2 linked regions of the Cricetulus griseus genome follow. The protein of the gene in region 1 purifies or fractionates together with the protein of each later gene. This does not show direct contact. Links are inferred from orthologs where the notes say so. Each region holds a gene or a part of one and is shown on either strand. Other genes may lie near its edges. The genes, in order: Cdca5 and Pds5b.

Region 1 (4,324 bases):
CCATACGTAGTAATCAAATTGTCCATTTGTATGAGTGTACACATAATCTCACAGAGAAACACATTAAAGCCTGCCCTTTTGAACCAGCATCTTGAAAAACTTAAGCTGAGTCTTTTACAGCAGGCTGTGACTACTGTCTCCTTCTAGCTAACTGTAATGCACGAGTGAGGCTTCCTTTCTGTCCAGTCTTGGAATTAATAACGTTCCCCAAAAATGGATCTTGCTCACAGCCACAGATCAGTCATCTCCAGCTCTCCAAGACTGGCAGAGCAGGAAGGAAAGACACTGAGGCTGTGGAAGGGACAAGGCTTGATTAGGCTTACGAAGCAGGGAAGTACCTAACAGATTTGGGATCAGAGGCTCTGGCCTCCAGGTTTCAGAGACTTATTGTCTCGAAGCTTGAAAGGTGCCAGCAAACCAGTCTCCAAGCTGGATCCTGGGGCTGCCCTGACCCCTTCCCAGTGCCCAGGCCTTACCATAGCAGACAAGACGGGTTGTCTCTCGACTGGTCAGGGGTGTGTTGCACAGGCGGCAATTGGGGTTGTAGTCACTATCTTGTAGCCACTGCAAGTAGGACTGCACGATGCACTGGAGTGGAAAAGAGATGTCACAACTGGTGCCCAGGCTCTACGATTAATATACTACTCCAAGGCCCAAGTGCCTTGTTTCTTTCATCAGATTCATTTTGTGTGTTTAGTCAATGAACACTTACTGAGCACCTACTGGAGGTCTAACAGAGAGCAACATAAACCAAGTCCTTGCCCTTGTGGAGCTTACAATCTAGCGTTGAGTCCCTCATGGATTTGGAAGGAGACTGGCCTGCCCACCCAGTGCCCTGCTCAGCCACCGCTCTGAACGTCCCACCTTGGCGTGATTGGCTACCAAGCAGTGCTCACAGACGTTAACTCGATGTTCGAAGCAAAACAGGTTTGTCACCTTCCTCTTGGGGCACTTGCAAAGGCCCATGACCGATCCTAGAGAGAGGATCTGAGTTAACAGGAAACCAGGTTCATGTGATTGCCACTTTGTTCTTACCAACCTAGTTCGTTTTTTTTTTTTTTTTTTTAATCTCTCAGACCCGTCCCACACTAGTCCTCAGCACGGGTACGGCCACGCCCCCAGCACAGACCGTACTCATTCCATCAGGACCCAGCCCCTAGCCAGATCTCTCCATCAATTACTCCAATAACACCAGCCCGCCCCTAAGACCCCACCCCCTCCTGACCCCACCCCCATCCGGCAGACCCCATGCTGAGTCTCAGAGAACCTCCGCGGTACCGGTAGCGACCGGTGCGTACTGTGGTGGGAAGCGCAGAAGGTCGGAGACTGTGTTGACCCACTCCGGTAGCTGAAGCTCTGCTCCCTTCGGCTCCAGCCGCTCTGATTATCCCTCCGCTGCCACGTCTCTTCCGGGTGCGGCGCGCTCTGATGACGCCACAGCGCCATCAGGCCACGCCTCTGCCCACGCAAGACGTAAACCTGAGACGACAAAGGCATAGTCCAAGGGGCAGCCTTCTTCTTGCGTCACTTCCGATTCCGCCTTCCCGCTGGCGGGTGATTTGAACGTTTGCAGGAACAAACTTCCCGGTTGGCGCGAGCCTAAGTTGGCTACGGTGGTGAAGGAGACTGAGCCGGACCATAGATATGTCGGAGCGGCGAACGAGGTCCGGAGGGGCCGCGCAGCGGCCTGGTGAGTGGAGGACGCTCGACAGCCGTAGGGCCGTGTCGTTTGGACAATGAAACTTAGCTCCCGGGCAAGTTGGAAAACGGCGTCAGCTTTTCCGAACTCGTCAAGCGCCTGGTTTCGTTTGGTTTTTTATTTTTTTCCTCGAACAAAGTTTTGCTTATCTTTAAACATATTTCCCTTTCCAGGACCCAAGACTCCATTTATTAAGTCTTCGAAGAGGTCCCAGCGGAAATCTGGCTCAGATCTCCCAAACATCTTTCCTGAAATATGGCCGAAGGTGAGATCCGAGTTCCTCAGGTACTGACCTAATGTAAAGCTTTGAACAAATGTAAAGCTCATGGTAACCCTTTCCCCTCTTTTCAGACACCTCAAGCGGCTCCGGTCAGAAAGGCTATCATCTTGAAGAAGATCGTGGCTCATGCAGTAGAGGTGAGGGACTAAAAGGGATTTGAGAGTGAGATGTCAAACCGGCTAAGCTGTTGATTGATGGGTTGATGTTATCTCTACAGGTCCCAGCTGTCCACACACTTCGAAGGAGTCCTAGGGTGAGTTCAGTTCCACCTGCTTATTTGTATGGGATCCGGTTCTCCTTAGAAAAAAGGGTAGACATACTAAGCACCACTTCCACCCAGGCAGCTGAGAACAACTTGCCTCTTGACACCTTTATGAATTGTCACTTTAGATCTCACTGTGTAACACTGTTGTCCTGAATTGAAAGTTGCTGTAGACCAGGCTAGCCTCAAACTCAGAGATCCAACTGCCTTGGTCTCCCCAGTGATGGTACCAAGGATTAAATGAGTCCATGCTATCAGGACTTTCCTTCATTTTTAGTTTTTAATGTTGTTGGGTTTAGTTTGTTTTGTTTTGTTTCTCAAGTCAGGTTTTCTCTGTATAGCTCTGGAACTCACCCTGTAGACTAGGCTGGCTTCAAACTCACAGAGATCCACCTCTGCCTTCCTGAGCTGTGCACCACCACCACCCAGCTAAGTAAATGTTTACAAAAAGGAAAGAGTAATTCTCAGCACCCAAATCAGATGGATGTCAACCATCTGTAGCTTCAGTGTCCTCTTCTGGCCTCCATGGACACGTGCATACAAAATACAAACTGTAAAAGATGAGTTATATGCTGGGAGTTGGTGGCGCACGCCTTTAATCCCAGCACTCAGGAGGTAGAGGCAGGCAGATCTGTGAATTCGAGGCCAGCCTGGTCTACAAAGCGAGTTCCAGGACAACCTCCAGAGCTACACAGAGAAACCCCATCTTGAAGATGAGTTGTATGTACATGCTTTTATAGTTTTGGTAGAACTTTTAAGGACTTTTGTCATTTGTCTGTGAACACCTTGTTTTTTGAGATAGTGTATTAGTGTCTCATATAGCCAAGCCTGGCCTTGAACTTAGTGTATAATTAATGCTGGTTTTGAATTCCTGATTCTCTCGCTTCAAACACCCAAGTACTGGAATTACAGCTGTGCATCTCTATACCCAATGATATTTTGTTCTTTGAACAAGGTTTTGTTATTGAGTTGGTCTGATTGGCTTGGTACTCTTTGAGTAAGATGGGCTGGCCTTGAAGTCAAGGCTATCTTCCTTCCTAAGCCCCAAGAGTTCTGGGATTATAGTCCCTAGTTTGATTTCTTATCCTGATGTGTGGTGCTGGAGGTCAATCTCAGGATATCACACATGCTAAGCAGGTGCCCTGCTGTTGAGATAATCACAGCCAGCTTTTGAACTGAGGTACTGAGAGAGTAAAGCTGGGATGTCATAGAAAGATTTCTCTAGGAGTATGTGAGTGATTTCATTGCAACCCTGGGACCAAGGGGAGAGCCTTGAGTTAATATGATTAGGCCCCAACTAAGATAATGGCTGGACACATGTCCTATCACACCTCCTCCTGGAGAGCTTCCTGACTACTATAGTTCATTGACCCATTTCTCTGCGGTTACTTTATCATCATCTAGTAGAGTACTTGCTTACATGTTTGATATCTTTCCCTCTAAACATAACTACCTTAAAAGTGAGGACTTCCAAATTCATGGCCAGCCTGGTCTACATAAAGAGACCCTTTCTCAAAAAGTACAATCTGGCAGGGTGTTGGTGGTGCATACCTTTAATCTCAGCATTGCAGGGGTGGTTTGCCGAGGCAGGTGGATCTCTATGAGTTCGAGACCAGCCTGGTCTTCAAAGAGAGTTCCAGGACAGCCTCCAAAGCCACAGAGAAATCCTGTCTCAAAAAACTAAAAGAAAAAGAAAAACAAACAAAAAAAAAAGTAGTACAGTCTGGGTGGCTGTGTGGCCGCAAGAGGATGGGGATGTAGTATTTAGAGGTGGTACCACTTCTGATGGCATCCTTTTGTTTTCAGGACAGGGTTTTTCTGTATAGCCCTGCCTGTCCTGGAACTCACTCTGTAAACCATGCTGGCATCAATTCATAGAGGTCCTCCTGCCCCTGAGTACTGGATTAAAGGTGTGTCCAACCACACCCATCTGTGTTTTTTGTTTTGTTTTTTGTTTTTGTTTTTCGAGACAGGGTTTCTCTGTGGCTTTGGAGGCTGTCCTGGAACTAGCTCTTGTAGACCAGGTTGGTCGAACTCACAGAGATCCACCTGCCTCTGCCTCCCGGGTGCTGGGATTAAAGGC
Region 2 (3,812 bases), on another chromosome or scaffold:
ATCATAGAGTTTTTCCTGTTCCTGTGTGTTGCACAGGAAGAGAAAGTTTCTTGAGTGTCAATCAGTGCTTTATGCCTTCTTCCATATAATTTTTCTATAACCTTAGTAGTAAAGGTAAGTACATTATTGTGACAGCTTCATAAATGTGTTTGGTCCAACAAGCAAAACCACTGTTTCTTAAGGAATAGTTAGTAGCCTGTTGTGAATTTTACAACAGTCATCTGATAACAGTTTTAAATATCTCACTCCTGTAATTCACCTTTTTTTCTAATATCTGGACATCATAAAGTTAAGGGCTCAAATGGTTGTGATTTTCCTTCAAGTTTCATAGCTCTTCCCATGAACATTCAAAGCCTAACTATATCTTTTTCAAAATCAGGGCAGAAGGAGACTTTTTGTTCTATCTTATACTTTCTGGACAGTTCTTTTTCAGAGCTGAAATAATACCATGTTATAATTTGTGTTTTGTGTTCTAACTGTAATGTAATTGAAAACATTATCATTATCATCCATGTAATTCTGTATGGTGGCACATAACAGACAAGAGCAGGTAGGCAGTCACTAAGGAGTCACATATATATGTCTGGTATATGTCCTGAAAATATTTAGGGCGTTATAAGAGAATACAGTGGAAGGACCTGGGAGTTGGGAAAGTTTTCTTTTTGGAATGTGTCGGTGAATAGATTACTTGAAAATACAAGGAGAGATGAGATGAGATGGTTCAGTGGTAAATACATTTGCTGCCAAGCCTGACTGACTGAGTTCAGTCCCCAGTACTCACATGGTAGGAGAGAACCAATTTTCTCAAGTGTCCTTTGACCTCCACAGGTGCACTGTGGCACACATGTTAACACATAGTATATAAATACAAAACAGAAGTAGGAGATAGTAGGGAGAAGACAATTTGGATTGGCAGAATACTATAGTTGAATTTTCTGAAGGTGTGAAAAAGTTGGTAAATCCAAGAAACTGGAACAATCAGGGGATTTACTGGATTGTAACTGCCAGGAATAGACTGGTAGGCCAGGACCATCTGAAGGAACACACAGTGTTATTCTCAGGTCCTTGCAGGGGTTTGTGTGCAGCGACACCACCTGTTCTGTTTTTGAAGGTCATTTTGTAAAAAGGAACCGTCAGAGGTAGCACATCGGTGGGGAGGAGTGAGTGGGTTCATTTCCTCTGTGTAGTTTTGGAGGGTGAGAGGAAAGGTGCACAGTTGTACTCAGAGGATGCTGCTCAGAGTGGCTTAGTGGGTCAGATGTTCTGTGATGAGGAGGAAGGATGAAGCAGGCATCAGCTTCAGGTTGTCATGAAGTCCTTTGTATAATCTGTTAGAGTATCACAGTAATGCTTAGGATCAAGATAGAAATTTATTTCTTATGGTATAATTGAGGATAAAAATGACAAGAATGCATACATGTGCTATTTTAGGATATTTCTTCCAGTGAGTTAATCTACAACTTAAGATCGGAACTCTCATTTCATTTAATGTGTTTTGCTTTAGCCGTGTAGGACGCTCCAAACAGACAGCTACTAAAGAAAATGATTCGAGTGAAGAAATGGATGTGCTTCAGGCCAGCTCTCCTATCAGTGATGACACTGCACAGGAAGGAGCAGAAGAGGAGGACATTTCTGCAGGAAATGTATGTACTTATTGAAGTGTCCTGTGTGTTGTTACAAAGGGCACAAACAGAGCCAATAAATGCTTAGTCAGCTCCATTTAGCACTTGCTATGTATTGTCTGTAATTCTAGATATTTGTGCTTTGTTCATTAGTTTGTCGTGTTACTTACTTACCAGCTTGAATTATGGGAGAAACAACTCTGAGAGGAGCTTGAATAACCATGACGGATGTTGTAATGTCTAGTGAACCTGTCAGCTGAATGTTGAGTGGTGTGACACTGGTATCTGTGAAATGTTTGTTTCTGTGTTAGAAAGCAGAAGAAAGCCACACTGACTAAAACTGAATCTTGAAGTAAACTCATCCTTCAGGATTGAAGTGTGATCTGGCTTTGTATTGGCACTGGGTGCTGCTTCTGAACTTTGTTCTTGTAGGGAATAAATGGTGGTGCTAGTTACCACATACTTCTCATTAGAAGAAAATAAAATTAACACAAATAGCCGTTTTCTTGACACATTAATGCAAAGATTTTTAGATCAGCTCAGTTTTCTTCATCTGGAAAACTTGAGTTTGGTCAGTTCCCAGAGCTGGCCTCTGCAGGTTGCTTCTGCTTAATATGTTCAGCAGTCCTATCTGTCCAGTTTGGTTTATATGAGTCTCACTTGAAGTGTCTCAGAGCCGCTCTGCTTTGTTTCGTAAGGACTTTGAGGAGAGGGATTTGAAAGGAAGACTGAATCATCCATAGTAATGGAGAACAACTGTATGTTAGGTCGGTTCTCTTAAAACCCTGCTCCTTTTACTTATGCTGTTTTTTGATTTTTCGAGTCAGGGTTTCTCTGTTGCTTTGGAGCCTGTCCTGGAAGTAGCTCTTGTAGTCCAGGTTGGTCTTGAATTCAAAGAGATACCCCTGCCTCCCGAGTGCTGGGACTAAAGGCATTCACCACCACCGCCTGGCTACTTACGCTGTTTTATACCAATGTTGTTGGATTTGTTTTGGTTTTTGTTTGGTTTACTTTGGTTTGGTTTGGTTTTTTGAGACAGGGTTTCTCTGTTTAGTCCTGGCTGTCCTGGAACTTGCTATGTAGACCACACAGGCATTGAACTCACAGATTAAAGGCGTGCGGCACCACTGCCTGGCTCCTGACCTTATTTTTTAATCCAAGTTTTAAGCTTCTTGTAGGCCTTGCTGGTAAATGGTAGTATGTTTGAACTTGAGGTTGTGTAGATGTCACTGCAAGTGTTGGGAGCCAAATTCACTAACCTCTGTCTCAAAATGGCCTAGTCCAAGAGTCAAGTGTGTTCTTTGCCACAAAAAGTAAGGAGAAAGATGATCAATCTGAAGATAATTGCTTGCAGGCTTTTCCATCTGCAGACATCCTAGAGGCCTAACTACCTGAAGATAGGAAGAAAGAGGGAGACAGTTTTAGGGAAAAAAATGCAAAGAAATTCAGAAGTGTGCAAGAATAAAGATTGTGTTAAACTCAGTGGTTGTTACTGTGAACGTGAATGTGCTCGCCTTAGTTATCTGTTGACTTTTCTCTTCAGGTACGACGGAGAAGTTCCAAACGAGAGAGACGGTGAACATGCCAGAAACTTGCAATGTGAAAGCTTTGGGGGAAAAACATTTTTTTTTTTTCCTTTGGTCAAGTATGAGGCTAAATAAAGCCTTTGATGCACAAAACAGGACTGCCAAAGTGTGGACAGTTGGACCTTTGACCATGAATTTGTGGTCACATACGTCAGCCATTCACATAGTGATAACATTGACTAAAAAAGAGTTTTGTGAAAGTGTCATGTGTGATGGCTGTGTAGACATAAACTAAAGAAGAACCCTGTAAATACGCCCTCCCCATTTCTGACTTCTAAAGTGCTTGTATAGCTTTTCTCTGCGGCTTTAAACTGACAGTGCCCAGCTGCTTACTGGATCTCTTGATCTGAGAAGCATTTGTTAGGATGGATCTCAAGCAGTAGTCTGTCAGGGTTTGTATTTGTATTCTCTGCAATTTTACTGTGAACATTGGTTTTTTCAACAATTGGTGTCATTTTCTTGATGTCACTGTTTGTTGGAGTTAAGTAGTCTCTTCCTCTCTTTGTATCTCGCCTGTGTTTACCCAGGGCACCCTTCATCCCGAGAGGTGCTAGAGCGTCTGCCATTACACTAGAGCAGCGCAACTGTCAGGAGGACACCACAC

The links.
Region 2: the proteins of Cdca5 (region 1) and Pds5b purify together in Homo sapiens (affinity purification with western blotting; 4 studies listed by BioGRID and IntAct, with this or other methods). This does not show direct contact. The link is inferred for Cricetulus griseus from reciprocal best matches to the Homo sapiens genes CDCA5 and PDS5B.

Annotation. Positions count from the first base shown.
Region 1 is NC_048596.1:53,261,920-53,266,243, reverse strand, and holds the start of Cdca5 (sororin), read left to right. Parts: upstream 1-1,508; 5' UTR 1,509-1,644; coding exon 1,645-1,690; intron 1,691-1,872; coding exon 1,873-1,964; intron 1,965-2,050; coding exon 2,051-2,116; intron 2,117-2,196; coding exon 2,197-2,232; intron 2,233-4,324. Other genes in the region: Zfpl1 (zinc finger protein-like 1), read right to left, coding at 477-588, 865-974, 1,299-1,446. UniProt on the Homo sapiens protein: Regulator of sister chromatid cohesion in mitosis stabilizing cohesin complex association with chromatin. May antagonize the action of WAPL which stimulates cohesin dissociation from chromatin.
Region 2 is NC_048597.1:86,600,017-86,603,828, forward strand, and holds part of Pds5b (sister chromatid cohesion protein PDS5 homolog B), read left to right. Parts: intron 1-1,504; coding exon 1,505-1,643; intron 1,644-3,165; coding exon 3,166-3,201; 3' UTR 3,202-3,812. UniProt on the Homo sapiens protein: Regulator of sister chromatid cohesion in mitosis which may stabilize cohesin complex association with chromatin. May couple sister chromatid cohesion during mitosis to DNA replication.